Linked DNA regions of Pelodiscus sinensis. The protein of the gene in region 2 interacts with the protein of the main gene of each other region in a biochemical or structural test. Links are inferred from orthologs where the notes say so. Each region holds a gene or a part of one and is shown on either strand. Other genes may lie near its edges.

Region 1 (7,088 bases), on a different chromosome or scaffold from region 2:
TTAGAGTAAGGTAGAACAGCACATAGCTAGAGGCAGAAAAGTAGGTGCCTAAGGAACTTTTATCCTGGAAAAGTAGGTGCTGAGTAAGTTTAGGTTTCTTAAGAGTTATATGTGGGTTTTGCAGATCACAGTGGAGCCAAATCTGGTATTTAGATGCCCCAAGTACCTTTGTGAAACTAGGCCTTAGACTCCTTTCCTACTGTTGGCTCTTCAGCCTGTGTGAGATCCTAGGGAAGCAGAATTTCAGTGTGTTTTGAAGCTAACTACTAGTGGCTTGATCCAAAACCCATAGAAATAAATGAAAAGAAGCTAATTGACTTCAATGGGCTTTAGATCAGAGATGCCCAGCACCTGTGAAAAACAAGACCACCGATTGTCTGAAAAGAGGGATAAAAATATTTTTGGTGTTTTCAGATTCTTTGACCAGTATTAAAAAGCTTTTATATTTCTTTAAGAATGAGTTTCTCAAACAATAACTCTGCCCATGTTCTTTGGTTTCAGAAAAATATTTAGTTATTTAATGTTGAAAAGCAGCTGTAATATGAATATGTGCACCTTTCATAAAAATTTTAATAACACAAAGAACCACTCATTCCAAACAGTGTAAAGGGAAGACTCATAATGGTTTTATTGAGGTAAGAATGACCCAGTGGAATTATGTCAATAGCAGTATCTTATACAATATCCAGGTACAATGTATAATTCTTCTGATAGCCTCTCTAGGGCTTAAAAAGCTCTTCCAAAAGATCTTGCACAATTCCCAGATATATCAAAAAGCCATGTTCAAGAATAATTTACAGTGAGAATTGCAAATCATGAATTCTGTGTTGAAAGGAGGGGCAAGGGACATTCTCTAGCAAAATCTTGTAGGTTTTGGCAAAAACAGTTACAAACTAGTGCATAAATAAAGCAGATAGAGTTTTTGTTTGTTTTTAATGAACACTTGATTCTGAAATTAAACTTTGCAGATAGCAAGATCCTATGTGAATTTAAATAGATTATGAATATTATAGTGGTACAATGTCTAAGGCATTGTCCAAACATGAAAGAAACAATCTTTGCCCTGAAGAAATATGACAAATGTATTTGCTAATACACATTTATGTAGCTTCTGCATAGTGCTATACAGCATATTATCAATTGAAGGTTTTATTTTAAATATAGGTACGTCAGACATTGATGTTATGCCAGTATGATCTTCCTTCTCTGCCCTACATATTCTTACAATACTACTTTTAAAAATAAACAAAAGGAAATGAAATACTAAAAACATTAGACTAGTTTAACATAATGGATAAACCAGTGGCTCAGTATTCTGCACTACCATGTGGAAGTCTGTCTAGATTCAATTTCTGATCTCATTTTCTTATACCCTGGACTGGGAGTTCTGCCATCTGTCCTCCTCAAATGGAAGAACAATATGGGACTCCAAAGTTGGGTGGTTTCTTTAGGTCCAGTACAACCCAGAACTATGATAAGTGTGTACTGAATGAAACCCTAAGGAAAAATAAAATTCTTAAATTGATTAAATTAAAAAATAAAAAGCCAAAACATTCACCTCATAGGCAAAAATGTAGTCTTCTAATTAAACCAGCTATTATATAGGATGTAGTTGTAGCAGAAATGTTGGAGTGGAATCTCTTGCATTGAGCCAGATAATGGAGAGGTCATTCAGTTTGTATAGGTGTACAAAGCAATACAACTTATCAGGAAAAGTATATATTGAGTATTGAGGATATAGTTTTGTCTGGATTTTTAGTACTGAATATTATGTTTTCATTAGTATTCTAGTTTTACAGGTTGTACAGTGCTAAGTGCCTGAGCTACATAGGACCTATATAATGAAACTAGTTGGGTGAGAATCAGAAACAGTATCAGATATAAGTAGCGGTCTGCTTACAAAGCCAGTAGTTTCCTCACTATCTCAGTCTTCATGAAAATGTTACAATGGCATCTCCAAATCATAATTTTAAGTGGGAGTACCTTGCTCATTCTTAGCTACTTAAATGTTCTCCTTAATTTAGGGTATGCAATGTAGTTATAGTCATGTTGGTCCCAGGATTGTCTCATTAATTTAGGACACTTTTGAAAGTTGCCTCTTCGGCTGTTCATTGAGATACCCTCCCTTAAATCCTCTCCCTGCTTTAGAGTGCCCCTGCTGTTGAGTGTGTTGAAAGGCCTGGAATTCTTTGGGAGCCTAAAGACAGAAGCATTACACCATTAAATAGAATTGGGATGTAGCTATAGCAGTCTTTTGAATTTCAGAGGGGTGTAGGAATATCCCTGACTTTTCTATTGCAACTCAATCACACATAAATAGTGGATTTTCTGAGTTGTAAGATGGGTTAGAAAAGTACCTTCCATCAGTAGTCTCATCCTACTAGCAAAACAGGATATAAATTTAGGTGAAACGGGTATCACGATCTAGCTCCAACCTTGTATCCCATAAAGTTGTTTTACTTTTGAATCTTTGATTTTTCAGTATATAAAGCTGTATCTCACCTCACAGTAAGAATTGCTTACTCTTTTTTCTACCCCTTGACTCACAATAAAATGATTTATGCCTATATTTTCCCAAGCTATTTGGCCCATTATGAGATACGAGTCTCTCAGGTCAGCATTTGGGGACCCTCACCGCTGACACCAGCACTGAGGTGAGCAGGGGAAAGGGTCCACTCCTCATTGTTCCCAGCAGGAGCAGCCCAGGTAAGCTTGAGCCCTAAACCTTGGTCCCCCCTTGACTCCCCTCAATCCTGAGCACTCTCCTGCACCCCAAACCACTCACCCCCAGACCCATCCCACAGCCCACACCCCCAGGCCAGAGCCTGCACCCCCTCCTGCACACCAACTCTCAGCTCTTCCCCAAAACTGTTGTCCCCCTCCTTCACCCTAAACTCCTCATTCCCTGGCCCATCCCAAAGCCTGCACGCCCAAGCCAGAACCTATACTCCCTCCTGCACACCAACTCCTAGTCTTTTCCCCTCCTGCATCCCAAACCCAACACCCCCAGCCTTACCCCAGAGTCTGTATCCCCAGCTAGAACCCTTGCACCCCCAATCATCTGCCCCAGCCCAGTGGTCCCTCCTGCACTCAGAACCCCTTGACTCCACTCCCACCACATTAATTTTGTGATGTGCACCAATATGAAGACGATGTATTGAGTGGCACACATCAGAAAATTCACTCAGCTCAGGGGTGGAAAAAATTAGAGGGAACACTGGTGAGGGCCTGGGGGCATCCCAGTGGGGGGGGAGGCAGTAATGGACAGACACTCCCTTGAAGTGGGGGCACCCCCTTCCCCCAGGGGCAGTGAGGACATGAGGGCATTCCAGGAGGAGGGGGCACACAGTGGGGACAGACATCCCCTATCCCTCAGTGGCAGTGAGGCCCTGGGGGCATTCCAGTGGGGGACACACAATGGGGATAGGCACCCCTTCCCCCCCGGGGCAGTGAGGACATGGAGGCATTCGGGGTGGGGGCACTTAGGGGACAGACATCGCCTTCCTGCTGGGGCAGTGAGGACATGGAGGCATTCTGGGGGGGGGGGACTTAGGGGACAGACCCCGGCTTTCCCCCGCCGGGGTAGTGAGGACATGGAGGCATTCCCGGGGGGGGGGGCTCTTAGGGGACAGACACCACCTTTCCCCCAGGGGCAGTGAGGCCCTGGGGGCATCCCAGTGGGGGGCACACAATGGGGATAGGCACCCCTTCCCCCCAGGGCAGTGAGGACATGGAGGCATTCGGGGGGGCACTTAGGGGACAGACACCGCCTCCCCCCCCCCCGGGGCAGTGAGGCCCTGGGGGCATCCCAGTGGGGGGGGCACACAATGGGGATAGGCACCCCTTCCCCCAGGGGCAGTGAGGACATGGAGGCATTCCCGGGGGGGGGCTCTTAGGGGACAGACACCGCCTCCCCCCCCCGGGGCAGTGAGGCCCTGGGGGCATCCCAGTGGGGGGGGGGGGACACAGTCGGGACACGCAGCCCTTCCCCCGGGGCAGTGAGGTCCTGAGGAGGAGCGCAGGGGCAGGAGAGCAGCGGGGACTGGGACGGGGGCCCCCACCCCCCACTGGGCGCGAAGCGGCGAGCAGGCTCCGTCCCGGAGGAAGGGAGGCGGCTGCCGCCGCGGTAACGCGCTGTCCCGGGCTTTGTTGTGCTCGCCGCCAGGGCCCCGGGCAGGGGGCGGGGGAAGGCGGCGGCGGCGCCTCCTCCTCGGCGCTGGCCCCGCTTATGGCGACGCTGGGCACATCCGGGCTTCTCTTCGTCCGGCGGCCGCCGCCGCCGCTGCCCTGAGCGCCCAGCCCGACTCCATTAGCGCCTCCCCGCTTCCTACCCGGCCCCAGCGGCAGGGGCAGCCCGGGCGAAGGCAGCGCCGAGCCCCAGCCGCGGCCGGAGACATGTCCAACCAGGGGGCCCGGAGGAACGGGCCCGTCAAGCTGCGACTGACAGGTGAGGAGGGGCCGGGGACGGAAGGCGGGAGAGGGTGGCGGAGAGCGGGCGGCTGGGGGGGCCAAGCGCCGGGCTTTGTGAGGAGACGGGCAGGGGGGAGGCGGCTGAGGGGGAGCCTGGTGGGGAGAAGGGGGTCGGTGGTTCAGGAGGGTAGGGGTCGAATTGGGCGGGGGCCGTCGTGGCTAAGGTGGGGGGGGGGTGAAGATTTGGGGTGAGGGAGCTGGGGGGGGGGCAGAGCGGGCGAGTGTGGCTGCGAAGGGAGTGGGGGTGTGAAAGGAGAGACCCCGGGGAAGCCCCTTTCTCTGTTGTCTAAGCCCCGCAAGTCCAGCTGGAGGGGTGGGTGGGACCGAGCTCCCTCCATGTGTCTTTGAGATTGAACCTGGGGCACGGAGAGGCCTCAGGGGAAACAAGAAGTAAACTCCCTGCCTCCCTCCTCTCAGCAGGGGGGTCCGTGGGCCACGGTTTTGCCCGTCGCCCGTGGGACACGTTGCTGTGGCCACGATAGGATTGTTTACTCTAGGGTAGTAAACACGCCTGGGTTAGGAGGAGAGGTGAAGCCCTGGGCAGTGTGTGTGGGGTGAGGTGGAGGTAGTGGAGCCCCTCGCCTCCCTCAATCAGAATCTCGATTAAACCTGAGCTCATTAGATGTATTTCTCTGTAAAATGCCGGACCACTCTCTCTGTTGTTGTTGTTGAATATGTTGTAGTATTTAGGGAGGCCATTGTAACTTTTTGGTAGGTACCTTAGGCTGTCTCAGAGGAGTAGCTGTGTGTGTTGTTACTTGAACAACAATGTTTCAGAGGGGTCGCTGTTAATCTGTAATAGAAAAAAAACTTAACAACAACACATAGTCCTGCAGCACCTTAGAGACTAACTAAAATGTAGATGGGATCATGGGTGGATTGTGTCCATAAAAGACATGATCCCATCTACATTTTTTGTTAGTCTCTAAGGTGCTGCAGGACTATTCGTTGCTTTCTAAGTTTTTTTTTTTTAACAAACAATGAGTAGTCCTGTGGCTAACAAATGTATAGTATTATGAGCTTTTGTAGGTAAGACCCACTTTGTCAGATGATGATATTATATTTTTTTTGCTAGTCACTAAGGTGCCACAGGACCACTCATTGTACCTTAGGTTGTTTCTCACCCTCTCCGTCTTCTCTGTGTAATCGTCGAACTATCAGGCCCTTTGTTTTGATCTTTTGTGTTGCTGTTTTCAAGCCAGTTTCCTCAGTTGAGATTGTAAACAATTCATAGGATATAGGCCATCATACTGTAGGAAAAAAGCCCTTAAAAAACCCATGGCCTTTAAAAATGTTTAGTTTACACCATAAATGTAAAAGTAAACTATTTCAGTCTGTCTTCTGGAAAGGAAGGAAAACATTATCTGTTTCTGAATACTTGGAATGAGCTCCTTTTGTAGTGATGAGGGCAATGTAAGTAGATAAATATGGAGAAACACTTATAAATATGAATAAAGCTTGTCTGCCTTTGAAAAATAATCACTGAAGACTTGCGAGGAAACAGCAAATTGAGAAAACACATTTTGTACTCTAAATTGTGACTTCAGTATATGAAAATACAAGATTTAAGAAAAGTATTAAAAATAGTTTGTCTTCCAACAACTTATTGAACCTAGTTAACTTATTTTGTAAGGCACAGCTATTAGTTCTTTCAAAAAAGTCTAAAAATAGTTGCTGCATTTTTTAAATTATGTAATTTTAATGGTATGTGCAGTATTTTCAGTTAACTTCTAATAAAAAAATTAAAGTTACCGCATTTTAATTTTTTAAAATTCGAAGTAGAGAAAAATGGCTTTTTTCTAGATCATGTAGATTTTTTTCTTATAATTGCTTACATTCTATTTTGGAACTTATTTAGATTAATCTTGTAAAAGGGGTTTTTATGCAGGGCCAGGATACTGCCCAGGTGGTGAACTCCTTAGAAATAAACTTTGGAAATGAGTGGAGCTGGACTGATATGTGGGACAGTGTTAGTTTAAAAATACTGTTCTGCACTTTTGTGTCTGTGGCTCCTTGCTTTTTGACTGAGCTCAGAGAAACTAAGGTGAGTTTAAAAAAATGCTCTATAATCCTGCCTTGGCCTAATGGAAAACTCTAGACCACTGGTCTCCAACCTTTTTAAGCATGAGATCACTTTTTTGAATTTAAGTGCAATCCAGGATCTACCTCAAATCCAGATAGCCCCCCTTCTTTGTGCCCCTTCTCCAATGTCCTGCCCCTGATCACTCCCCCCTCTCTCTCCCATTCTCCTTCCTTTTCATCAGGCAGTGGCAGAGATGGGGCACCTGCTCTGGTCCTGGGCTAAAGGATTTGGCGTGTGAGAAGGGCTCTGAGCTGAGCCTAGGGCAGGGAGTGGGGGTACAGACTCTGTAAGGGAGTTTGGATCCAGGGGCTCAGGGCTAGAGCAAGGGCTTGGGGTGCAGGAAGGGTTCATGACCTGGAGTAGGGGCTCAGAGCTAGCTCTAGCTGGACACTGCTTACCTCAGGTGGCTCCTGGGTGGTAGTGCAGTGAGGCTAAGGCAGGCTCACCTTTGTCCTGGCCCTGCACCACTCTCAAAAGCAGCCAGCAAACTCCCTCCATCCCAAGCCCTGTTGTGCCCCCTCCTCCATTCTGTGGA
Region 2 (6,944 bases):
AAAGCAGCTGATTTTCCGGAATAAGTGGCCCAGTGTAGACACAGCTGCTGTGTCTAGACTGGCCGCTTGAATTTCCGCAAGAACACTGACTTCCTACTGTCTGAAATCAGTGCTTCTTGCGGAAATACTATGCTGCTCCCGTTCGGGCAAAAGTCCTTTTGCGCAAAAGGGCCAGTGCAGACAGCTCAGATTTGTTTTGCGCAAAAAAGCCCTGATTGCGAAAATGGCGTGATCGGGGCTTTTTTGCACAAAAGCGCGTCTAGATTGGCACAGATGCTTTTCCGCAAATGCTTTTAACAGAAAACTTTTCCGTTAAAAGCATTTGCGGAAAATCATGCCAGTCTAGACGTAGCCACCAGGTTTGAACAAAATACCTGTGTTCCATACTTCCATATCCCAAGAACTGGCATAGCAAAGGAAGTTGGGATGAGTGGAAGTAAGGGATAAGAATGTTAAGACGCCGGTAACTGGCTAATCGTGTACTCAATACAATTTGTATCAATTGCATGATTAGTCAATAAGGGAAGGCACTCAGTCCCAGCTCACACTGGGTCCAGAAGCTACCCCCACTGTAGCGCTGTAGTTTAAATGTAGTAGGAGTCGGGCATGCAGGCAGTCCGGCTCCTACACTTAAACTGCAGAGCTATAATGGGAGTTAGTCCTGGCTCACACCATGTCCAGGACCTAAGTGAGCCCAGCTCAGTCCCAGCTCAGATCTGGTCCAGGACCTATTTCTGCTGTGGCTCCGCATTTTCAATGTAGTAAGAGCCAGTTAAGCTCTTGCTACATTTAAAATACAGAACCACAGCAGTCCCAGACCCAGCCTGAGCTGGGACTGACCAGAACTTGCTCAGTCCCAGCTTGTGCTGGCTCCAGCAGCCCTTGTCCAGAGACAGGGGCTGCTGCTGGAGCAGCCTATGTTCTTAGTCAGCCTGGGCCACTGCAGACAGGGACTACTTTGTGGCAGCCTTCCCTGTCCTCTCGCCTGGGCTGCTGCCTCTTGTATACCTAGAATTTGTGGAGCGTGCTGACTGAACCATAGCAGTGCTTTGACTGGATGGCAGCCCGGCTCCCACTATATTTAAACTGCGGAGCCACAGCCGGAGTTGCTCCAGAACTCCAACCTCCCCTTATCGACTAATCATGTAGTCGATACAAATTGTATGAACTACACAATTAGTCAATTACCTGCTTCTTAACATCCTTACTTATAAATAAGCCAAATCTCAGCATCTCCTCTACCTTCCTACAGACAGCTTCTCATTCCATTCCCACCATCCTCTCTGCTCTTGGTGCAAGAGCTCTAAGGTAACCAGATAGCAAGTACAAAAAATGGGGACACGTTTTTGGAGGGAGGCATAATTGCCTATATAAGACAAAGCCTCTGGTATTGGCACTCTGGTCACGCTAAAGGGGTCTCGTGTTTCATTTTCAGAGGAGCCTAGTAGTGTGCACCATACACCTACCCTCCAGATTCTTGACTTTCTTCTGACCTCAGTCTCTGAAGATCATACAGGAGCCCAAGATAAATTGTGATCACATAGTACAAAACAGAGCTTGTGTTTTGGAGACATCAGGATTTAATATTCACTCAAAGGCAGAATTCACTGCAGTGCAGAACTGTCAAACACCTGGCCCATTTGAAACATTTGTGAATGCCTGGGCAGAATCAAATTGTCCAAGATCTAAACTGTTTTTTTAAGAGTAAGGTTTCTAGTCCTCATGATTAACAAAGGTAGCCCTTAAAAATTGTCTGCCTGTCTGCACGCAGCCTGAAATAATAGTCCTGTGATGTGTCAATTCTCACCACAGAATGGTAGACTGGGAAGAGCTCCAGAGAGATCTAGTTAGGACCCCTGCACTCATTGCAGGACTAAATATTCTCTAATACCATCCCTAATAGGTATTTGTCTAACCTGCTCTTAAAAATCTTCAATGGTGGAGATTCCAAAACCTCCCTAGGCAATTTATTCCCATGTTCAATTACCCTGACAAATTGTTACCCAAGCTGCCTTTGCTGCAATTTAAGTACATAGGACAAGAAACAAAGTTCAGAGGTTAAGAACGTTTTTTCTCATTCCTCTTTGTAACAACCTCTTCTGTACTTGAAAACTATTATGTCCCCTTTCAATCTTCTCTTTCCCAGACTAAACAAACCCTTATTTCTCCCCAATCTTCCCTCCTATATGTTTTTAGACCTTTATTCACAGTTGTTGCTTTTTTCTGGACATTCTCCAATTTGTCCATCCCTGTTTTTGTTCAGGAGTGAATTAAAGTGCAATAATGACACCTTAACTCTTTAATTGCAGAGTTCAGTGGCAGGACTGGGGAGAGGGTGACATGGCCCAAAGGGAGTGGGAATTGAGGGTATTGAAGAACTAAGGCAATGCAAGTTCAGGTGCCAAAGAACTGCTGTCATAGTAAGCAGCGTTACCTATCGATGTCTGGATTTCAAACAGAACACCCACTTGAAAAGGGACTCTGGTGATGACAGTCTGGTCAGTAGTTAAAAATCCATTTGGCATAGAACTGGCAAGCTCCCTACCCAACTCCCTGTGGTGCAGCTGGCCAGCATATCCTTCTGGCTGTTAGGCATAGGGACATCCATGGAGTTCCATGCACTGCCTCCAGCACCAGCTCTGCAACTCCATGAGCTGGGAACTCTGGCCAGTGGAAACAGCAGGGGCGGTGCATGTGGATAGAGGTGGTACATAGAGCTGCATGGCCAAAACACCATCTAGCCAGAGGGACATACTAGCTACTTCCCAGAAGCCACCTGAGGTAAGCACAACCTGGGGCTGTTACTCCAAACCATCTCCTACACTCTATGCCCCACGTTTAAGCTCCCTCCCACATGCACTGCCCTTGGCGTCACAACCCACTCTGCCTGCCCCAGCTTGGAAACTCTCCTGGCCCTCTGAATACTTTAGCCCCATCCCATCCTGCACCTCAAACTCCTCTTCCCCAGCCCCCCCCCCACCCGAGAGCCTACACTCCCACATTCCAGCCCGGCCTGCACCACCCTACAACCTGAATCCATTCCTCCCCCTCACCCGCCCACCCCACAGCCTGGGGCCTTCCAGCGCTCCGACCCGCTTCGCCTCAGACTCTCCACCTGGCTCTCACATCCCTCGTCCCCGGCCTGCGGCCTTGTCCCACCCCAGCCCGGTTACAGTGGGGGTGGGAGAGAGCGAGCGGGAAGAAGGCGGGGGACAGGACCAGGCTGCAGCGTGGGGCACGGGCCCTCCTCCTGCGAGCGGTGTCCCCGCAGCCCGGCCGGAGCGAAGCAGCAGTAACCGCAGGGCTGTGACGAGTGAAGCCAGCGGAGGACGAGCCCGACCTCGACGTGCTCCGCTGTGTCTACACGGACTTGGAAACACACCCGAGGGCCCGCGAGACAAACAGGAAGGGGAGGGGCATCCCTGCCACTCGCTCGCCCCCTCTGGCCTTACTGGGATCTGTTTCCCCTTCGCAGCGGCTGCGCGGAGGGATACCAGCGCCGTACTGCGCCTTAGCGATTCACGAACGTAGATCCGGTCGCGACGGCCATTTTGTGTACACGCACAGACGAACTCCCCTCCTCCCCCCCCAGAGGCGGGGACGGGCGAGTGACCACGACGAGCCGGGTACAACGAGAGACTCGAAGGCCCCGCAAGAGCTTTCGCTCTGGGGATTTCTCCATAACCGACAAACCGCCCACTCAAGCGTAGGGAGATGGGGGAAATTAGCCCGGTCTCGTACGCCGGAAGCCCCTGTGTCACAGCCTCCGCGAAGAGGGGGAGCACGCCCTTCTGATTGGAGAAGCGGCGTTCGGTCTCCGCCCCCAGATCTGGGACGCCTGCAGTCTTACTCTCGCGAGAGTCACCCCTCTGGCCTTCCCTCTTCTTCACACCCCACCCGCAACTATAGAAGGTGCGTGCACCGGCCTTGCACGAGCCTGGGGCTGTCTTACCCCCCCCCCCCCCACTAGTTTCAGTAGCGCGTGCGCGGATTCGCAGGCGGCAGCGGCGGTTAGCGCGTCCCTCCCCGCTCCAGTGAGAGGGAAGGGGGGGCTCTGGGCGAGGTTCCTTAGTGGCCCGCCCCGGGAGCGGGGGGCGGTGCCTGCTCGCCCCTCCTTTCTTTCTCGGCCTCGCCACCGGTGGTGGGAGTGCGCGGGGGCTGAGCTCGGTTTCTCCCGTGGTGGGGGAGGCTCAGCGCATCGTCTGTCCTCTCCGAGGCGGGCCGGCGGCGGTGGCAGCCAGGCGATCTCCGGAGAAGGGGCCGGACCCGCCCGTCGGGCGGAGGCTGTGGGCGGCTGCGCTCCCTGCGAGCGGGCGCCCCTGGCTGTTTCCGGAGGAAGGAGAGACGCAACTGCCCCCCCTCCCCGTCAACGCGAGCGGAGCCCGGAGTCACCGCGGCGCAGAGACAGGCCCGGCGGGCGGCGGCGGCAACACACACACAATGGCGCTCAAACGCATCAACAAGGTGAGCGAGGGGCGGGCCGGGGAGGCGGCGCTGGGGCTCGGGGTTCTGCGTCCCGCACCGCGGGGACAGGCCCTGTCGCCTGCGGTGTGCGCGGCGCCCCGGCTTCGGCTGGGGAGTGCGGGCGGTCTCCGGCCGGGGCGAGTGACTCCCTCCGCCCCGGTCTCTGGCGAGGAGCAGGGGGCCTAGCGGGCGGGGGGCGGCTGATCTCCTTCCGGGGCCCGGGCTGCCTGCGCGGGGCGAGTTGGGGAGGGGGAGCGATGTCGCCCCGGCGCGCTCTTTGTCGCAGACCCCGAGAAGGTCGCGGTGAACCCGCCGGCAGCCCATGGCCCCGCGGGGACGTGGTGGGGTGTCCGGAGGGCCGGGGCAGGGCCGCTAAATGTCAGTGTCATTGCGAGCCGCAGGGCTAATCGCCTCCATCTCTTGCGTTACCGCTCTTAGCGATGGCCCGACTGTGCTGTGGCTTTATTTACATCGCAGCGACAGCCCGGGCTGGGCTCGCTCCTGCCGAGGGGGCAATCCGCCTCCCGGCCAAATTGGTTTCTCTTCCCTGGCGTCTAACTTCTTTCCCGCATTGTAAGATGGCGGCGGGTTTGCCTAGTTCAGGCTCTTTCCGGGTCTCTTGCTTTCTGCAATAACATGACACACACACACGTCCACGTTCCCGTCGACTCTCTCTGAACACCAGCTGCTCCTATTCCTCTACGTTTACACTTCCCCTAGAAACCCTCGGCTTTCATGATGTCGTAGAGGGATGGCTTTTTACCTCATCCTTTTCTTTGGGCGCAGGACGTTGTTGTGTGATGTTTTGAGCATTTCGTTCTTGCACAATCCTGTAGGGTGGAGTAACTTTACAGCTAACTCAAAAAAAATGTTGAGGTGATGGAAGTTTAACCTTCCAGAGAGCAAGGTTAGTGGCAGAAGGTGGGTGTTAGGTAACTTATAAATCTCAATTTCAGTTGTGACGTTCCTGTGAACAATAATTTAGTGTTTAGTGCAGCATCCAAGCTTCCCAACAGTTGGGGTCCTAATGACAAGCATGATTACAGCTAAATAGCTTACTTAAGCTCTGAGTTGCTGTTGATGTGTACTTAAAAGCATTATGGCATTGTAAATATTTTGAGACTGGATAGATGATTTTCTCCTTGTCACTTTTCAGCTTGTCACCAACCAGAAACTCATAGTGCCTTGAAATGATACAATGAATATGTCAAATTGAATATAGTTGTTGGGGTTTGTCATATTTTTTCTTAGATATTACAGAAACTGGACATATTTTTACTAAAAGGAATATAACATTGTTGCTGTGTCTTAATTTACTGTTCACACTCAAGAATAACAAAACTCTTAAATTCAAAACTGTTAAGTTTTAAGTAGGAGAATGTGTAGATTTTAATTAAAATTATACTTTTACCAGAAACTATTTTGAAAGTGTTTTAAACCTGCCACCAAACTTGTTTTCACTGTAACTGTGGATGGTATCACTTACATTAAGAAGCAGTTGGGAGACTCCCTGATATGCTTTGTCACCAACTACTCATGCAGATGAGATGCATCCTTAACACAGACTTGTGTAGGTCTGAGGAATTTTTGAAGTATAAATCATTAAAATCTCAGATTTAGAGTCTCTTTTTAACTGGAGCCTTAGAACATATTTAAAAATAATTTGGTATCAAGAAGTCTATTTAGATTATAAAATAATAGGAGACAGTCCATACAATCTATAGTGCCTAGCAAAATGGGTCTTTATTCTTGATTGTTGTTCTTGATAATTGTTAGGCACTGTTGTAATAAACATGACTAATAACAAAAATATGTCCAGGGGCTCACATCTTCCTTGTCCAAGGTTTGTGGTTGAAAATGTAACCACTTCTGACTAGTTTAGCCAAATCAGATGGCAAGATATGTCTCCAAATTGGTACTGTTTACAGCTGTGACTTGCTTTTTAGTAGTTCCCACCTTAGTTGGTTATAGTTAGATTAATGTGTTATCTGTAATCTGGGATTCTGAAATGCTTTCCAGTTCTAGTGGCTCTCAGGAAAATTGATGCCAAAATCAAAGCATCAGGACAGAGATTGCAATCAAATTAATTTAAGATTTGTCCCGCCAATCACTATAGCTAGAGAGGGCTGTATTGTCACTGAAAAGCACAGATCCCCAGCTTTCAAATGTTAAAATAATCCAAATATCAGTTTCTAGCTTTGATGGTGCAACAGTTCAGACCTTGATGTTTTCTTATAATATGTTCTTGTCACTAGTCAGGGCTGAAAAATGCAAGTCCAGGACCTCAGAGCATTGTAATTGCACATACCTGATTCAGTTGAACTTGCAAGTCTGTAGAAATATTACCTGCCACGGCCAGTTGGTTTTCAGTAGATATCACGAACAGGGGCATTTTCTTTCAATCCTTGCTTCCTTTGTTTGATTTGACACCTCATTAACCATTTTGAAGTTGCATTTTAGTATACATGAAAACATTTAGA
Region 3 (7,554 bases), about 21 Mb from region 2:
AGTCCTCGGTGCCACTCGTGGTGCATGCAGTGAAGATCGCGTACGTCTTTGCCTGGCCTTGCGAGGCCTGCTTTCCCCAGTGGCCCTTTTTCAGGGAACGTGGAACAGAGGATGCAACCACCTTCCAGGCAATCAGCTAGAGAAGAAGGCCGCAGTGACCCTAACAGGGAGGGCAGCAGGGAGTCCTGGGGCTGCAGCAAAAGAGCCATACGAGGGTCCTACTGACGGGGAAGGGAGCCGGCTGGGCCCCTACTGGAAGGCAGGCTATTGTGTATATTGGAGACCACAGCACGGCCCTGCTCACTCTCGTGACCGTGTTTTGGCCTTGCTGAGTCTTGCAGCAACCTGGGTTTTCAGACCCCTGCCTGGGTGAGCTGATGGTGCAGTTCCACCTTGTTCAACAGAGCCATGAGCCAGACTCTCCCCACAGGAAGAGCTGGGCAATCATGCCTCTGCATGGAGCCTGTCACAGGACTTAGACTCTACATTATTCTGTTTTTAAAAGTGCTCACTATACCTGCCGGCATGCCCTCTAAATTGCAGCCTTGCATTTCAGTCATAGGAATCTTTAAAGGCTTACATCTAGGCCGTAACTTCACACTTTATGCAACATATTCCTTAGCTGGACATGTGCAATACTAGTTCATGGGAGTTCAGTGGCCCTATAACGGGTGATCATCTCAGATGCAGCCTCTTTATTACATTGGCCTTCTGGGCCTGATTCTCCAGTGCCTTACACCTTGCACAACCATTTACACCTGGGCAAGCAGGGTCATTCAATGGCCTTTCTTAATTTACCAACTGATGCCAGGCTACACAAAGGGCCAAAGAATAAGAACAGGATCCCTGCATTTATAATACCCAACTGGAGCAGGGTGTATTTCTTGCACTGGAAAGAGGTCACAAAGGGAAGAACGATTTCAATCATTAGACAACTTAATACTTTAACTCATCTGCAAATAAGCGGTCATGCTTCGGGGCATAGGGCAGCTGCTAATTGATGGGGTTTAGGAAGAACTTCTATAGCAATTATGTTTTAATTATTTGCTACACATCATTTTGCACTTTCCAGGAAAGCATCTGTTCAGTTAGACACAAAACAACAGACTAGAGCGATCACATGTCTGATATGGCAAAGCAATTCCTATAACCAGTCACTAAAAAGGGAGCTCAAATTCCATAATATGAGGGGAAGTGAGAAATCTGCAAGTCCTGCAACCCACTAATACTTTTTTGTTCTCTACGCTGATGTCTGACAATACCACTTTAAGCACTGTTTTGATGAGCCTTTCCCTGAGCAGGTCCCATACAATCCAAAAGATGATTAACGCTCCACAGGCTTAGATACTCTGCTGAATCAGAGCGGAAAACAATAACAATAGCTTGTCTACATTAGTGCTCCCAGTGTTGTTAACAGCACTGGAGGTAAACTGCCACCAGCAAAAGAGACATTTTTGAAAACTAGACTCATAGAACACGAGAACTGGAAGGGACCTCAAGAGGTCATCCTCATGGCAGGACCAACCACCATCTAGATCAGTGGTGTGCAACCTTTCCCGGCGCGACCCCCAGGAAAATTTATTTGAGTTTAAAAAAAAAAAAAGTGTGGCCCCTTTAAATACCACTCTACTAACTTGCTGCTCCCCTTGCCCCGACCGCATGTATGCCGAGCTGGGGAAAAAATGGCAGCCGGCCCCTATGGGGGTTGCAACCCACAGGCTGCACTCCGCTGATCTCGATCATCCCTGATAGTAAGAATTTTAAATTTAAATTAATCAACTAATTGAATAGTTGATGCAATTTGTATCGACTATTTGATTAGTCAATAAGGGCACCTGCCAGTTCTTGCTACATTTCGAAGGTGGAAGTGTGTGGGGAGCATGGGGCCAGCGGAGGACTCAAGCATTCCCATTTTGGCCCCGCGCGCCCTGCTTTTGAAATGTACAAGCACCCCCACTCTTGTCCATTTCAAAAGTAGAGAGCACAGGGTCAGTGGGAGACTGCTTGAGTCCTGTACTTGCCCCCTGCTCCTGTGGCGCGTCTGTTTTTGAATGTCGCAACGTGCCCCTGCCATATTTCAAAGGCAGAAGTGCCACTGGTTCCCCCCTGCGTCCCTGCTCCCCACCACAGCGACGGTGCAGATAGAGGCAGTAAGTGGGGGGAAAGCGACTAGTTGAGTCACTAGTCGACCATCCATTAATATCGGATAGTTGACTAGTCGTTTCCATCCCTATCCGACCGGTGTCTGTCTAACCTGCTCTTAAATATCTCCAGTGATGGAGATTCCACAACCTCCCTGGGCAATTTATTCCAGTGTTTAACAACCCTGGCAGAGCTTTTCCTGATGTCCAACCTAAACCTCTCTTGCTGCAATTTAAGCCCATTGCTTCTTGTCCTATCAATAGAGGCCAAGGAGAACAATTTTTCCCCCTCCTCCTAGTAACACTGTTTCAGAGACTTGAAAGCTGCTATCATGTCTTCCCTTTTCCAAACTTAAAAGAGTCCAATTCTTCCAGTCTTCCCTCATAACTCATATTTTCATCATTTTTGTTGCTAAATAGTCCTAATGCAGGTGAAGACAAACCGCACATACATTGTGTATTTACCATGCAATCCCAGTTTAGCCGTGTAAGAGACTTCTTTTGAACACCCCTATAAATCAACACAATTCTATTGGTCTCATGTTGTACAGCATAGGTGAGGTTTACACTACAGACCTATTTCAGTATAACTATGCCACCCAGGGGTGTGAAAATCAATCGAATCGCCGTGTAGACAGCACTCTAACTCCCTGTGCAGACCATGCAATGATGGTGGGAGAGCTTTGCCAGTCAACGTGGCTATTGCTTCTTGGAGATGTCTTTTACATGCAGACCTACTCCTACAGTGGACACTCTCTTTTGTACTGCTTGTTTTCTTCTGTCTCTGTTTATTCCATGGATGTGAGAACAGACACAGAGGTTGATACAGCTACAAACAGCGAAAGATCAAAAAGAAATTGTGCCATGTATTTCAGCAATTTTAACCGAATCTGATATTCTTGAAAATAAGGATTTGTTTCACCTTGCGTGTATACATACTGGTCCAGTATTTCAGGTACATAATTGAATACAAAATCTTGATTAATGCAACAAGAAGGTTGCACAGTTAAAAAACTAAAAAAACAACTTAAATTCAAGGGAGATGGGAGGGGGCTCTGGTGGACACATGGAGAAGAAAGATGGTGGAAAGAATACAGTTGTCTCTGGATAGAGTTGCAGGGGTAGGCAGATACCAGCCCGTAGGCCAGATCTGATCTGCCAGGGTTAGTCGCCGCAGGCCCCTACACTTCCATATTTACCTGAGCCTGCAAGTACGGGGGAATTGCTGTTCCTGGCCATTGGAAGCTGTGATCCCTTGTACCTGCAGAGGCGCAAGTAAATATAGTGGCAGGAGCCCACCAGGGACTAACTATGGTGAACTGCCACCATTTTATTGCCTGCACCTGATGTAGGGGCAGATGGTGCGTGTGTGTGTGTGTGAAGAGACAAAAGACAGGACTATGCAGCACTTTAAAGACTAACAAGATGGTTGTTAATCTTTAAAGTGCTGCATAGTCCTGTCTTTTGTTTCAGCTAGACCAGACTAACACGGCTGCATCTTTATCACTCTTCTGTCTGAAGAGAGATTGTTAAGAGACTGGGGTCAATTGCGTAAGATCAGAATAAGAGTGAGTTTGTGGAGGATGTAGGGGGCTGGGCAGCCTGAGCATGGAGAGCGGTCTCTATGGGGACATTTTAGTGGAGAGATGTAGCATATTTGAACATAAGAAAGTTTTTCTTCATTCAACGCACAACCAGTGGAACTCCTTGCCAGAAGATGTGATAAAGACTAGGGCTACGCTGGCGGCTTCTTGCGCAAGGGTTCTTGTGCAAGAAGTCTTGCGCAAGAAAACATCCACACTGCCATGTGCGAGCTGTGCATTTGTGCAAGAACGCCCATGGCAGTGTGGATGCTCTTTTGCACAAGAATGCTCCGATGGCCATTTCAGCCATAGGGCTTTCTTGCGCAAGAAATCCCTGCTGAGCGTCCACACTGCCCTCTTGTGCAAGAGCTCCTGCGCCAGAGGGCTTATGCCTGTTAAAAAAGAGCGTCGCTCTTGCGCAAGAAGCCTGCTCTTCCCGCTGGCTGTGTCTACACTGGCATGAATTTCCGGAACTGCTTAAAACGCAATACTATTCCGTTTTCAGTTTTTCCGGAAAAGGAGCGTCTACATTGGCAGGCTGCTTTTCCGGAAAAGAGCCGCGATGGCCATTTTCGCGATGGGGGCTTTTTTCTGGAAAAGACCCCTGGGCTGTCTACACTGGCCCTGCTCCGGAATAAGGCCGTCTGCCCGAGCGTGGCGCAGGCGGGGCTGTGTGCGGAGGGGCGGGGCCTGTGAGGGGCGGGGCGCTGCGCGCGGGGCTGTGTGCGGAGGGGCGGGGCCTGTGAGGGGCGGGGCGCGGTGCGCGGGGCTGTGTGCGGAGGGGCGGGGCCTGTGAGGGGCGGGGCGCTGCGTGGCGCGCGCGGGGCTGTGTGCGGAGGGGCGGGGCCTGTGAGGGGCGGGGCGCTGCGTGGCGCAGGCGGGGACGCGCTGGCTCCGCCCCGGCCCGGCTGCCGCTTCGCCCTCCCGCTGCCGGCGCCCAGGCCTGGCCCCGCCGCCGAGCCCGCCGCGCGGTGAGAGCCTGCCGGGCGGGGGAGGGGGCTGTAGGGAGGGTGTGCGGGGGGGCGGTAGGGGGCGTCTGCAGGGGGGGGCTGGGTTGTGTGTCCAGGGGGGTCAGTGGGGTGGGTTGGGGGGGGTGTCCAGGGGGCTGGGGGTGTGCGTGCGGGGGGGTCGGGGGGCTGGGGGTGTGCGTGCGGGGGGGGGGTCGGGGGGCTGGGGGTGTGCGTGCGGGGGGGGTCGGGGGGGCTGGGGGCGTGCGTGCGGGGGGGGGTCGGGGGGCTGGGGGCGTGCGTGCGGGGGGGGTCGGGGGGCTGGGGGCGTGCGTGCGGGGGGGGGGTCGGGGGGCTGGGGGCGTGCGTGCGGGGGGGGGTCGGGGGGCTGGGGGCGTGCGTGCGGGGGGGGGGTCGGGGGGCTGGGGGCGTGCGTGCGGGGGGGGTCGGGGGGGCTGGGGGCGTGCGTGCGGGGGGGTCGGGGGGCTGGGGGTGTGCGTGCGGGGGGGTCGGGGGGGCTGGGGGTGTGCGTGCGGGGGGGTCAGTGGGGTGGGCTGGGGGTGTGCGTGCGGGGGGGGTCGGGGGGCTGGGGGTGTGTGTGCAGGGGGGTCGGGGGGGCTGGGGGTGTGCGTGCAGGGGGGGTCAGTGGGGTGGGCTGGGGGTGTGCGTGCGGAGGGGGTCGGGGGGGCTGGGGGTGTGCGTGCGGAGGGGGTCGGGGGGGGCTGGGGGTGTGCGTGCGGGGGGGTCGGGGGGGCTGGGGGTGTGTGTGCGGGGGGGTGGGCTGGGGGTGTGCGTGCGGGGGGGGGCCGGGGGGGCTGGGGGTGTGTGTGCAGGAGGGGTCAGTGGGGTGGGCTGGGGGTGTGTGTGCAGGGGGTGGGCTGGGGGTGTGCGTGCGGGGGGGTCGGGGGGGCTGGGGGTGTGTGTGCAGGGGGGGTCGGGGCTGGGTTGTGTGTGCAGGGGGGGTCAGTGGGGTGGGCTGGGGGTGTGTGTGCAGGGGGGTTGGGTGGGGTGGGTTGGGGTGTGCAGGGGAGGCCCATGGGGTGGGTTGAGGAGTTTGCTCTGAGAGCTGTGTTTCCATTCCCAGACCTGACATGCTGGACACCATCCCACCAGGTGGGTGGGGGTGTGGGATGGAGATCCTGGAGAGTGTACGAAGGGGTGTGTTGGGGAAGGGACTTGTGGTTAGATTGTGAGAGAGGCTTGGGGAGTGTGAATGTTGGGATTGGCGTGTGGGGTGATTTCTGGTGGGTTGAGAGGATCGTGGAGGGGTGAGCTAAGGAAGAAGGATGAATGGGTGCTGGTGGATGGAAGGATATGTGTGAATGGAGATATAGGGAGGGATGTGATTGTATAAAACACTGTTTAGTTCTCATATTGGACATGTGGGGCCATTTATTTTCCATATAAAATCTCACAGCAACTGTGGTACTCTTTGTTTCCCAGTATTCTCTCCCTCTATAACCCAACGCCAGTACCCTTAAATCCCACACCATCGTTGGTAGCAGAAATCTTACCAAGTGTTTTACTGTCCTTACAGATGTGTTCATTTCCTTTACAGTCATCGGTCATCTCTGAGGTGTTTCATTGTCAACCAAACAAACCACTATTCCCTTCGTTCTCCCTCGCCTTCGATTTCTTGCTGCAGTGAAGCCCTTTTGAACTCTTACCAGCATCCAGAAGTGGCTTAAACAGATACAGTTGACTTCCCAGTATATCTGAACTAACCAAATACCAGAATATTTGTGTGCTGTCCCGTTTGAGTAAGTGCCACAGCTTCATACCACTAATCTCACATACCATTTTTCCTACCGTTTCCTCCTATTAGGAGTTCAGTCTAATTTGTAGTACATATGTTCGCATCGCAAGGGACAGCATAATTGTCTCTGTCTTGACGTTAAAGTGGATTCTTGCGGGAATTTTTAAAACCGTGGTGGTGTGTGAGATTGTGAGCTTAATTTCAGGTATGTAGGACAGCAAAAATTCTGTAACTGGAGCTGACTGACACCCATTACGTTAGTAGACACAGAGCCTAAATTGCCATCCGTCCTGAAAGTGAGCTAGAATGGGTTAAGGCAAATGAGCTGAGTCTGGACTGTAGTTTTTGTGCAAAGGTACCATTGTTAGTGCATAGCACTGAGGCTAGCAAAGGTGGGAGCACTGGGATAGACGAGCTGCGGGTGTTTTTATCAGGCTGGCTGTACCTCTAGTAGGTCTAGTCTAGATCAGTGGTTTACAAACTTCTTTTCAGATGACCCAGTTGAAGAAAGTTGATGCCTGTGACCCAGCGGATTTGGGGATGAGGGGTTTAGCGTGGGGCGGGCACTCAGGATTGGGGCCGAGTGTTGGGGTGAGGGCCATGAGGTGGGGCTGGAACAGGGATGGGGAGGCTGGGGCTAGAATTGAGGGACTTGGGGTGCAATTTGGGTTGCAGGAGATTGGGAGTTTGAGGTGGAAACGTATCCAAGGCAGAGCATTCGTGAGAATTGCTGAGTGCAGATATTGCTCTGTATAAATAATAGTAAGTGCTCTATGATTGTGTCACTGACAACTTTCAGGATTGCAAAAGCCAGCAACGCTTCTCTCAAAAAAGCATCGGTACTGCTTAATTATTAGCCACGAGGAAGGATAGGGTTTTGTCCCCGGATGGATAGGGAAGAGATCAGGGCCCAGTTTCTGCTCTGCTTCAGTTTCAGTGTGTCCCTGAACAAGTCACTTAATCGATCTTGTGTTTCAATTTCCCATCTATAAAACAGGGTCATAAAATACTATCCCACAAGAGAATTGAGGGGAAATTCCATTAATCGTTGTTGAGGTTCGTCAGCACTATTGCCACGAGTGCCCTGACTGTATTTACATGGAACAGGGTAAGCACAGGTATTTGGT
Region 4 (6,905 bases), on a different chromosome or scaffold from region 2:
TTTTTCATAACTCTTTGTCTAAGTTCTGAGTGGTTTAAGTTGTATATGCAGAGATATTGAGCATAAAACTAATTTACCCAGAAGATTAAGTTTATAATCTTAGGAATCTGTAGCTATCTGTGTGTGTATTGGAGAGCGTACCCCATTGGGAGTATTTTTTGTTAGTGTATTAATGAAAACTTCAAACTAGGGGCTTGCTCTGTTTCGTGGCTGAATATAGTCTGGAATAGTAAAGTTTACAGAGAAAACCATCATTCTGCCCATTGGAAAAACAGGTTAATTTCATAGTGAGTGATAAGACTGTGCACCAACTGACTTCACCAGTCAAGACTTTTTTCTAGTCTTGAACTTGCTGCCCAGAGCTGCTGCTACTGTTTCAATTTATAAATCAAAATGGAAGGTTCATTAATTTTCCTTAGCTTCTAAACATTTGTGTGGAAATTAATATTCTTTGCAAAATGACTTGGGATGTCTTGGCAGGCAAAGGCACTGTAAAAGCATTTCTTGGGCAGCTATCAAGAGGTTACATGCTACTGAACCTATATTCCACAACTTGCGGCTGAAATATCCACTCTGCTAGCTTAAGTTAATCTCTCTCTATATTTTAGAGTGCATCTGTCTGTGCTTCTGTCTGTGAATCTTTGTTCAAGAACTTCTTCTAAATGGTAAGAGCTAGGACCACCAAATTTGGTATGCAAATTTCCTCTTACGCTAACGTAAAGCAAGGTTAGGGTTTGGTTGTGCCAGGAAAATGGGAAGTGCCAGGAATGGTACAAGCTCCAGGGGGTAGCTGAGTTAGTCTGTATAGGATAAATTTACAAAACAAAAACTGGTAGTGCTACCAGACCAGTTTTTGTTTTTTAAGTTTAGGAGTGGGACTATTTTTCATAATTTGAAAAGGGAGGGGCAGAGAGAGGAGATATGATACTCTGAGTGGCCACTGAGGGCAGCGAACCTGCAGCGGAGAACTATACTGCAGAGTGACCACTGGGGGCAGCTGCACTAATGAGAGACTGGCCAGCTGGGGACAAGACTCTGCCCCAAATCATTGCCTGCACCCCTCAACGCATGCCCTCACTCCTGCACCCCCACCCCATGCTCTGAGTCCCCCCCATCTTCGTTCCCCTGCCATGAGCTCCCCCAGGCACTGAACCCTCTTCCCTGACTCCAGACCCCCATCCAAGCCCCTGCCCTGACTTCTGCACCTTCACTCCCTGTCCTGAGCCACCCCACTTGAACCCTGAGGCTCCCCAGCCTTGGCCCTCACTCCAGTACCATTCACCTCTAGCCTTAATCCCCCACACCTCCTAGCCCCCTGCCCTAACTCCTTAACCCTACTCCTTGCTCTGAGCCCCACATATACCCAACCCTCTATCCTTCCCATCACCTGCCTCTATCCTTCCCGTCACCTGCCGTGACTCCTTCACCCCCTCACCCATGCCCAGAGCCCTCCTAGTCCCCTGTCCTGACTCCTTCACCCCATCCCCTGAGCCCTCTCCCATCCCCTTGTAATCAATCATGTAAATATTGTATGTTCATTTTTCCTTTTAATTAAAAAACCCCAACAAATCCAAAACATTACAACAGTTAAGAACCTGAGCAGCACTGGGATACATGTGCTAGTTGAGTGTAAGTTTGAGTTTTCTGCACATTGTAAGGGTATTGGTCTGCTTTGTTAAATCATAGAATACTAGGACTGGAAGGGACCTCGAGAGGTCATTGAGTCTTGTTCCCTACCCTCATAGCAGGACCCAATACTGTCTAGACCATCCCTGACAGACATTTATCTAACCCACTCTTAAATATCTCCACAGATGGAGATTTCACAAACTCCCTGGGTAATTTATTCCAGTGTTAAGGTTTCCATCTTGGTAGATTCAGAATTCAGAACTACTTTGAATTCTATGGGAGCATCACAGAATCATAGAAAGGCTGGCCTAAAAGGAACCTGAGACGGTCATCAAAGCCAACCTCCCATGCTGAAGCAAAACCAAGTAATTCTAGACCATCTCTCGCAGGCGTTTGTCCAACCAGTTCTTAAAAACCTCTGTGACCTCCATCGTGAAGATTCCATGACCTCCCTTGGAGGCTTATTACTGAGCTTAACTGCCCTTAGAGTGAGAAATGTTTCCACTCTTTAACCTACATTTCCTTTGCTGCTGATTAAGCCTCTTACTTTTAGTCCTGCTTTCAGTGGGCATAGCGAACAGGTGATCACTGTCCTTTTTATAATGGCCCTTAGTATATTTGGAGATTGTTACCAGTCTTCAGTAATCTTTTCTCAAGACTCAATGTGCCCAGTGTTTTTAACCTTTTCTCATAGGTCACATTTTCTAAACTTTTTATCATTTTTGTTGTTCTCCTCTGGGCTTTTTCCATTTTATTCATATTTTTCCTGAAGTGCGGCATCCAGAATTGCATAAGAATCAGCTGAGAGTGTCTGTGTTATTTGGTGGGGTTTACATCTGGCCTGCTGGAGTTTCAGAAGTTGTTTAAAAATAGTCTCCTCTCTTCTCCCTTTCGAGTTTGACAGGTAGGTTCCTGAAGATAATTTTCAAATACTGCATTTTTTCTAATACTTTCCTCCTCTGATCTCCTTTGCAGGGAAGAGAAACGTCTTGCCTTCTTTGAGGGCAGCCTGTCTGTTTCTTTAAAAAGCCAGAATGTTTCTTGCTGCTTATTGTACTCTTAGCTTGCTACTACTAGGGCCTAGGGTTACCAGGTGGCTTCAGAAAAAAAATACTGGACACACTTGATCTTAGATGTGGGGGAGGACACCGGCTGGGAGGAGAGTGGGGCTGGCCAAGAGGATATGTGTGGGGGGGGGGGGGGGGGGGACCAGCTCGCAGGAAGCAGGGCTGGCGGGGGGAGACCGGACAGTGGGAAGCAGGTCTGGCTGGGAGGGGATCAGGGGGAGCGGAGCTGGCCAGGGGAGATCAGGAGGAGGAGAGGGAGGAGAACCGGCTGATGGGAAGCAGGTCTGGCCGGGAGGGAGTCGGGGGCAGTGGGGCTGGCCAGGGGAGATCGTGTGTGTGTGGGGGGTGGGGGGGCGTGACCAGCTAACGGGAAGTGGGGCAGTCCGGGAGGGAGTTAGGAGGAGGGGCTGGCTGGGGGCAGGGAGTGGGGGGAGAGAATCAGCCTGTGGGGAGCGGGACTGACCCAGGCGCTTGCAGATCCCGGGATGCTTCCTGTCCTGTGCACAGTCCTGGCGAAGCACGAGCGAGTCCAGCCCTGGGGATTCCATCCCGGTCCGGGGATTCCAACCTGCCCCTGTCCTCCCCTCCCCTCCCCCCCCCCGCCTTCCCCCCCCAGCTTAGTTGCATACTGCCTGGCTAGTAGTCACACTCACGCAGCATGAGCGTGTCTACCAGCCAGGCAGTTCGCAACTACATACTGATATCCCTAATAATAATAATAATAAAACTTACCTAATTAGAAAATACTGGACATTTTATGTGTCCGGTATTTTCTTAATTTTTTCCCTGGATAGAACTCTCAAATACCAGACTGTCCGGTTCAAAACTGGACACCTGGCAACACTACTAGGGCCAGTGAACTTACCATTTTGCAAACATCTGCGCAGCTGTACCTTCTGGTCAGGATTGGTGTAGGAGTTTTGTAACTCCCTGTCGGGTTATTTTTAGAGGACCCTGGAAGTTTCCTAGTGTTTAATTTACCCAGTAGGCTAGGAAAGCATTGCTCTTTTCTATCCTGTTTAAACTAAAAGCATACTTACATGTTTTTCAGTTTTGATTAATACATGTTTTATAACCTTGAGTTTTTTCTTTAAAAACATAAATCCCCCAAATGACCTTACTGAAGATCAATTAAAACTAAAGACAGCAGAGTTAAGGTTTGCCCTCATTCTGTACATCTCTTTCTAGGATTTTCTTGACATGGTCAAGATCAAACAACATTTAGAGATCTGCAGTGTTCAACAATCTCTTATTCATGCAACGGAGTGTCTTCATTTTATGTTGCAGGGCCGTATTAAAACTGCAAGATTGGTATTGTTTATATATGGACTCTCATATGGTAATTTATAAAAATATTTTTCAGGAATTAATTATGAACATTTAATGAAATAGAGATCGAAATGCAGTATTTGGGGGGGGAGGACCCTTTTATGTGTATTTTGTGCATCTCCCTTATTGGAGAAAATTATATTTTTCTTATGGTAAATTTGCAGCGAAATTAAAACTCTTGTGCTTTCTTATAATATTACTACAATTGATGGAAATCTATAGCCAATTGTCACTATTTGTTATATTAATGGCTGTCATTTAGTCTGGAGTGTTCTTATTCATTTCTCTAAAATCTGGAAATCAGTTTAAGGACCTTGCAGGTCCTACAGACCTACAGTAATTAATTTTTGCTCAGTTTGCAAGAGTAGTTTCTATAGCAGCTAAGCAAGTTTAGGAATCTCCTGAAATCACATCTGAGTCGTCTTGTCAGCATTCTGATAATTCCAGAACAAAATGTAGGCTTCATAATAATGATCTTAGTCTTTGTTTCTTCTGAAGCAAAATGCAGGACAATGTAGCACTTTAAAGACTAACAAGATGGTTTATTAGATGATGAGCTTTCGTGGGCCAGACCCACTTCCTCAGATCAAATAGTGGAAGAAAGTAGTCACAACCATATATACCAAAGGATACAATTTAAAAAAAATGAACAAATATGAAAAGGACAAATCACATGGCAGAACAGAAGGGGGATGCGGGGGGGGGGGGGGGTGGGAAGGGGGAGGAAGGAAGGTAAGTGTCTGTGAATTGCTGATATTAAAGGTAGGGAGAGTGGGATGTTTGTGAGTTAATGGTATTACAGGTGATAATTGGGGAAACTGTCTTGGTAATGGGTGAGAAAGTTCAAAGACTTGTTAAGTCCTTGTTGGTAAGTGTCGAATTTTAACATGAATGACAGTTCAGAGGATTCCCTTTCAAGTGCAGATGTAAAAGGTCTTTGTAGCAGAATGCAGGTGGCTAAGTCATTTAGAGAGTGTCCTTTCTGGTTAAAGTGGCAAGAAACTGTTTTCTCTTTGTGATCTTGTCTGATATCTGTTTTGTGGGCATTAATCCTTTGGCGAAGTGTCTGAGATGTTTGTCCAATGTACATAGCAGACGGACACTTTCGGCACATGATAGCGTAGATTATATTTCTGGATGCGCAGGAATATGTGTTCTTGATCTTATAACTCACTTGGTTAGGTCCAATAATGGTATCAGCAGAATGAATATGTGGACAAAGCTGGCAACGGGGTTTGTTGCAAGGGAAGGTACCAGGGTTGGTATTAGTGTGGTATGTCCTGTGGTGGTTGGTAAGAATCATCTTGAGGTTAGGTGGTTGTCTATAGGAGACTATGGGTCTGTCTCCCAGAGCCTCTTTGAGTATGGTATCCTGTTCCAATATAGGCTGTAGTTTATTGATAATGTGTTGGACAGGTTTAAGTTGGGGATTGTAGGTGATGACAAGTGGTGTTCTATTGTTGGTTTTCTTGGGTCTGTCTTGAAGTAGATGGTTTCTAGGTATTCATCTGGCTCTTTCAATTTGCTTTTTTGTTTCTCTGGGTGGGTAGTTGAGATTTATAAATGCTTGGTAGAGATCCTGAAGCTTCTGGTCTCTGTCAGTGGGGTTAGAGCAGATGCGGTTGTATCGAAGGGCTTGGCTATAGACGATGGATCGTGTGGTGTGTTCTGGATGGGAGCTGGATGCATGTAGGTAACTGTATGAGTCAGTGGGTTTTCTGTAGAGAGTGGTGTCTAATTTTCCATTGTTGATTTGTACGGTGGTGTCCAGGAAGTGGATCTCTCGTGTAGAATGGTCCAGGCTGAGGTTGATGGTGGGGTGTAGGTTGTTGAAATCTCTGTGGAATATCTCCAGTGTTTCTTGGCCATGTGTCCAGATCATAAAGATGTCATCGATGTACCGTAGGTAGAGGAGGGGTGAAAGGGTACGGGAGTTGAGGAAACGTTGTTCTAGGTCAGCCATAAAGATGTTAGCATACTGTGGGGCCATGCGTGTACCCATGGCTGTGCCGCTGATCTGGAGGTATAAGTTGTTCTCAAACCGGAAATAATTGTGGGTGAGAACAAAGTTACATAGGTCTGCTATCAGGTTGGCAGTAGTGTCCTCTGGGATAGTGTTTCTAATTGCTTGTAATCCGTCTTCATGTGGGATGTTGGTATATAGAGCTTCTACATCCATGGTGGCAAGGATGGTATTATTGGGGAGGTTATCGATGTTTTGTAGTTTCCTTAGGAAGTCAGTAGTGTCTCGGAGATAGCTGGGGGTATTGGTTACGAAGGGTTTGAGAAGAGTGTCTACATAGCTGGATAGACCAGTAGTGAGCGTGCCAATACCAGAGATGATGGGACGTCCGGGGTGCCCAGGTTTATGGATCTTGGGAAGTAGATAGAACAATCCTGGTCGGGGGTCAGAAGGTGATTCTGTGAGGATTTGTTTCTTCTGGTTTGTCATTCCTTCTTTGCAGCATCCAAACTGGTGCAAAGTTTGAGTGAGTTAATGGACTACAGCCTCTCCCTGAGTTACGGACCAAACTCTTGGCCGTAACTCAATCTGTTCATAACTCGGACCCCATTGAGTTACATAGCGACTGCGCTGTTCATAAGCGCAGGTCGCGTTTGTAACTCAGAGACCGCCTTTAAGACTGCTCCATGGAAGCTTTGGTCATAAGTGCGAACGGTCAAAACTCGACTGTTCGCAACTCAGGGAGCAGTTGTATTAAAAAAAAATCAGGGCAAACCTTTGTATATGCTGCTCCTGTAGGTGGCCTCCATAAGGCCTCCTGGGAACTGGGCTTAATGTGGATATAGTTTTCATCTCTTGTGAAGGTTGTTGAATGCTTTCCCACTATTCAGCGGCTTCATTTCTTCAGTCTTAAACTT

Evidence for each region.
Region 1: the proteins of UBE2D3 (region 2) and SMURF2 form a complex in vitro, tested with the Homo sapiens proteins (12 studies listed by BioGRID). The link is inferred for Pelodiscus sinensis from reciprocal best matches to the Homo sapiens genes UBE2D3 and SMURF2.
Region 3: the proteins of UBE2D3 (region 2) and UBA6 form a complex in vitro, tested with the Homo sapiens proteins (2 studies listed by BioGRID, with this or other methods). The link is inferred for Pelodiscus sinensis from reciprocal best matches to the Homo sapiens genes UBE2D3 and UBA6.
Region 4: the proteins of UBE2D3 (region 2) and RFFL form a complex in vitro, tested with the Homo sapiens proteins (5 studies listed by BioGRID). The link is inferred for Pelodiscus sinensis from reciprocal best matches to the Homo sapiens genes UBE2D3 and RFFL.

Annotation. Positions count from the first base shown.
Region 1 is NC_134730.1:20,923,979-20,931,066, reverse strand, and holds the start of SMURF2 (E3 ubiquitin-protein ligase SMURF2), read left to right. Parts: upstream 1-4,075; 5' UTR 4,076-4,395; coding exon 4,396-4,447; intron 4,448-7,088. UniProt on the Homo sapiens protein: E3 ubiquitin-protein ligase which accepts ubiquitin from an E2 ubiquitin-conjugating enzyme in the form of a thioester and then directly transfers the ubiquitin to targeted substrates.
Region 2 is NC_134715.1:25,177,031-25,183,974, reverse strand, and holds the start of UBE2D3 (ubiquitin-conjugating enzyme E2 D3), read left to right. Parts: upstream 1-3,936; 5' UTR 3,937-4,440; coding exon 4,441-4,464; intron 4,465-6,944. UniProt on the Homo sapiens protein: Accepts ubiquitin from the E1 complex and catalyzes its covalent attachment to other proteins. In vitro catalyzes 'Lys-11'-, as well as 'Lys-48'-linked polyubiquitination.
Region 3 is NC_134715.1:4,190,182-4,197,735, reverse strand, and holds the start of UBA6 (ubiquitin-like modifier-activating enzyme 6), read left to right. Parts: upstream 1-4,536; 5' UTR 4,537-4,695; intron 4,696-5,755; exon of another isoform or gene 5,756-5,784; intron 5,785-6,208; exon of another isoform or gene 6,209-6,229; 5' UTR 6,230-6,431; intron 6,432-7,424; 5' UTR 7,425-7,535; intron 7,536-7,554. UniProt on the Homo sapiens protein: Activates ubiquitin by first adenylating its C-terminal glycine residue with ATP, and thereafter linking this residue to the side chain of a cysteine residue in E1, yielding a ubiquitin-E1 thioester and free AMP.
Region 4 is NC_134731.1:17,191,291-17,198,195, forward strand, and holds the start of RFFL (E3 ubiquitin-protein ligase rififylin), read left to right. Parts: upstream 1-3,881; 5' UTR 3,882-3,896; coding exon 3,897-4,035; intron 4,036-6,905.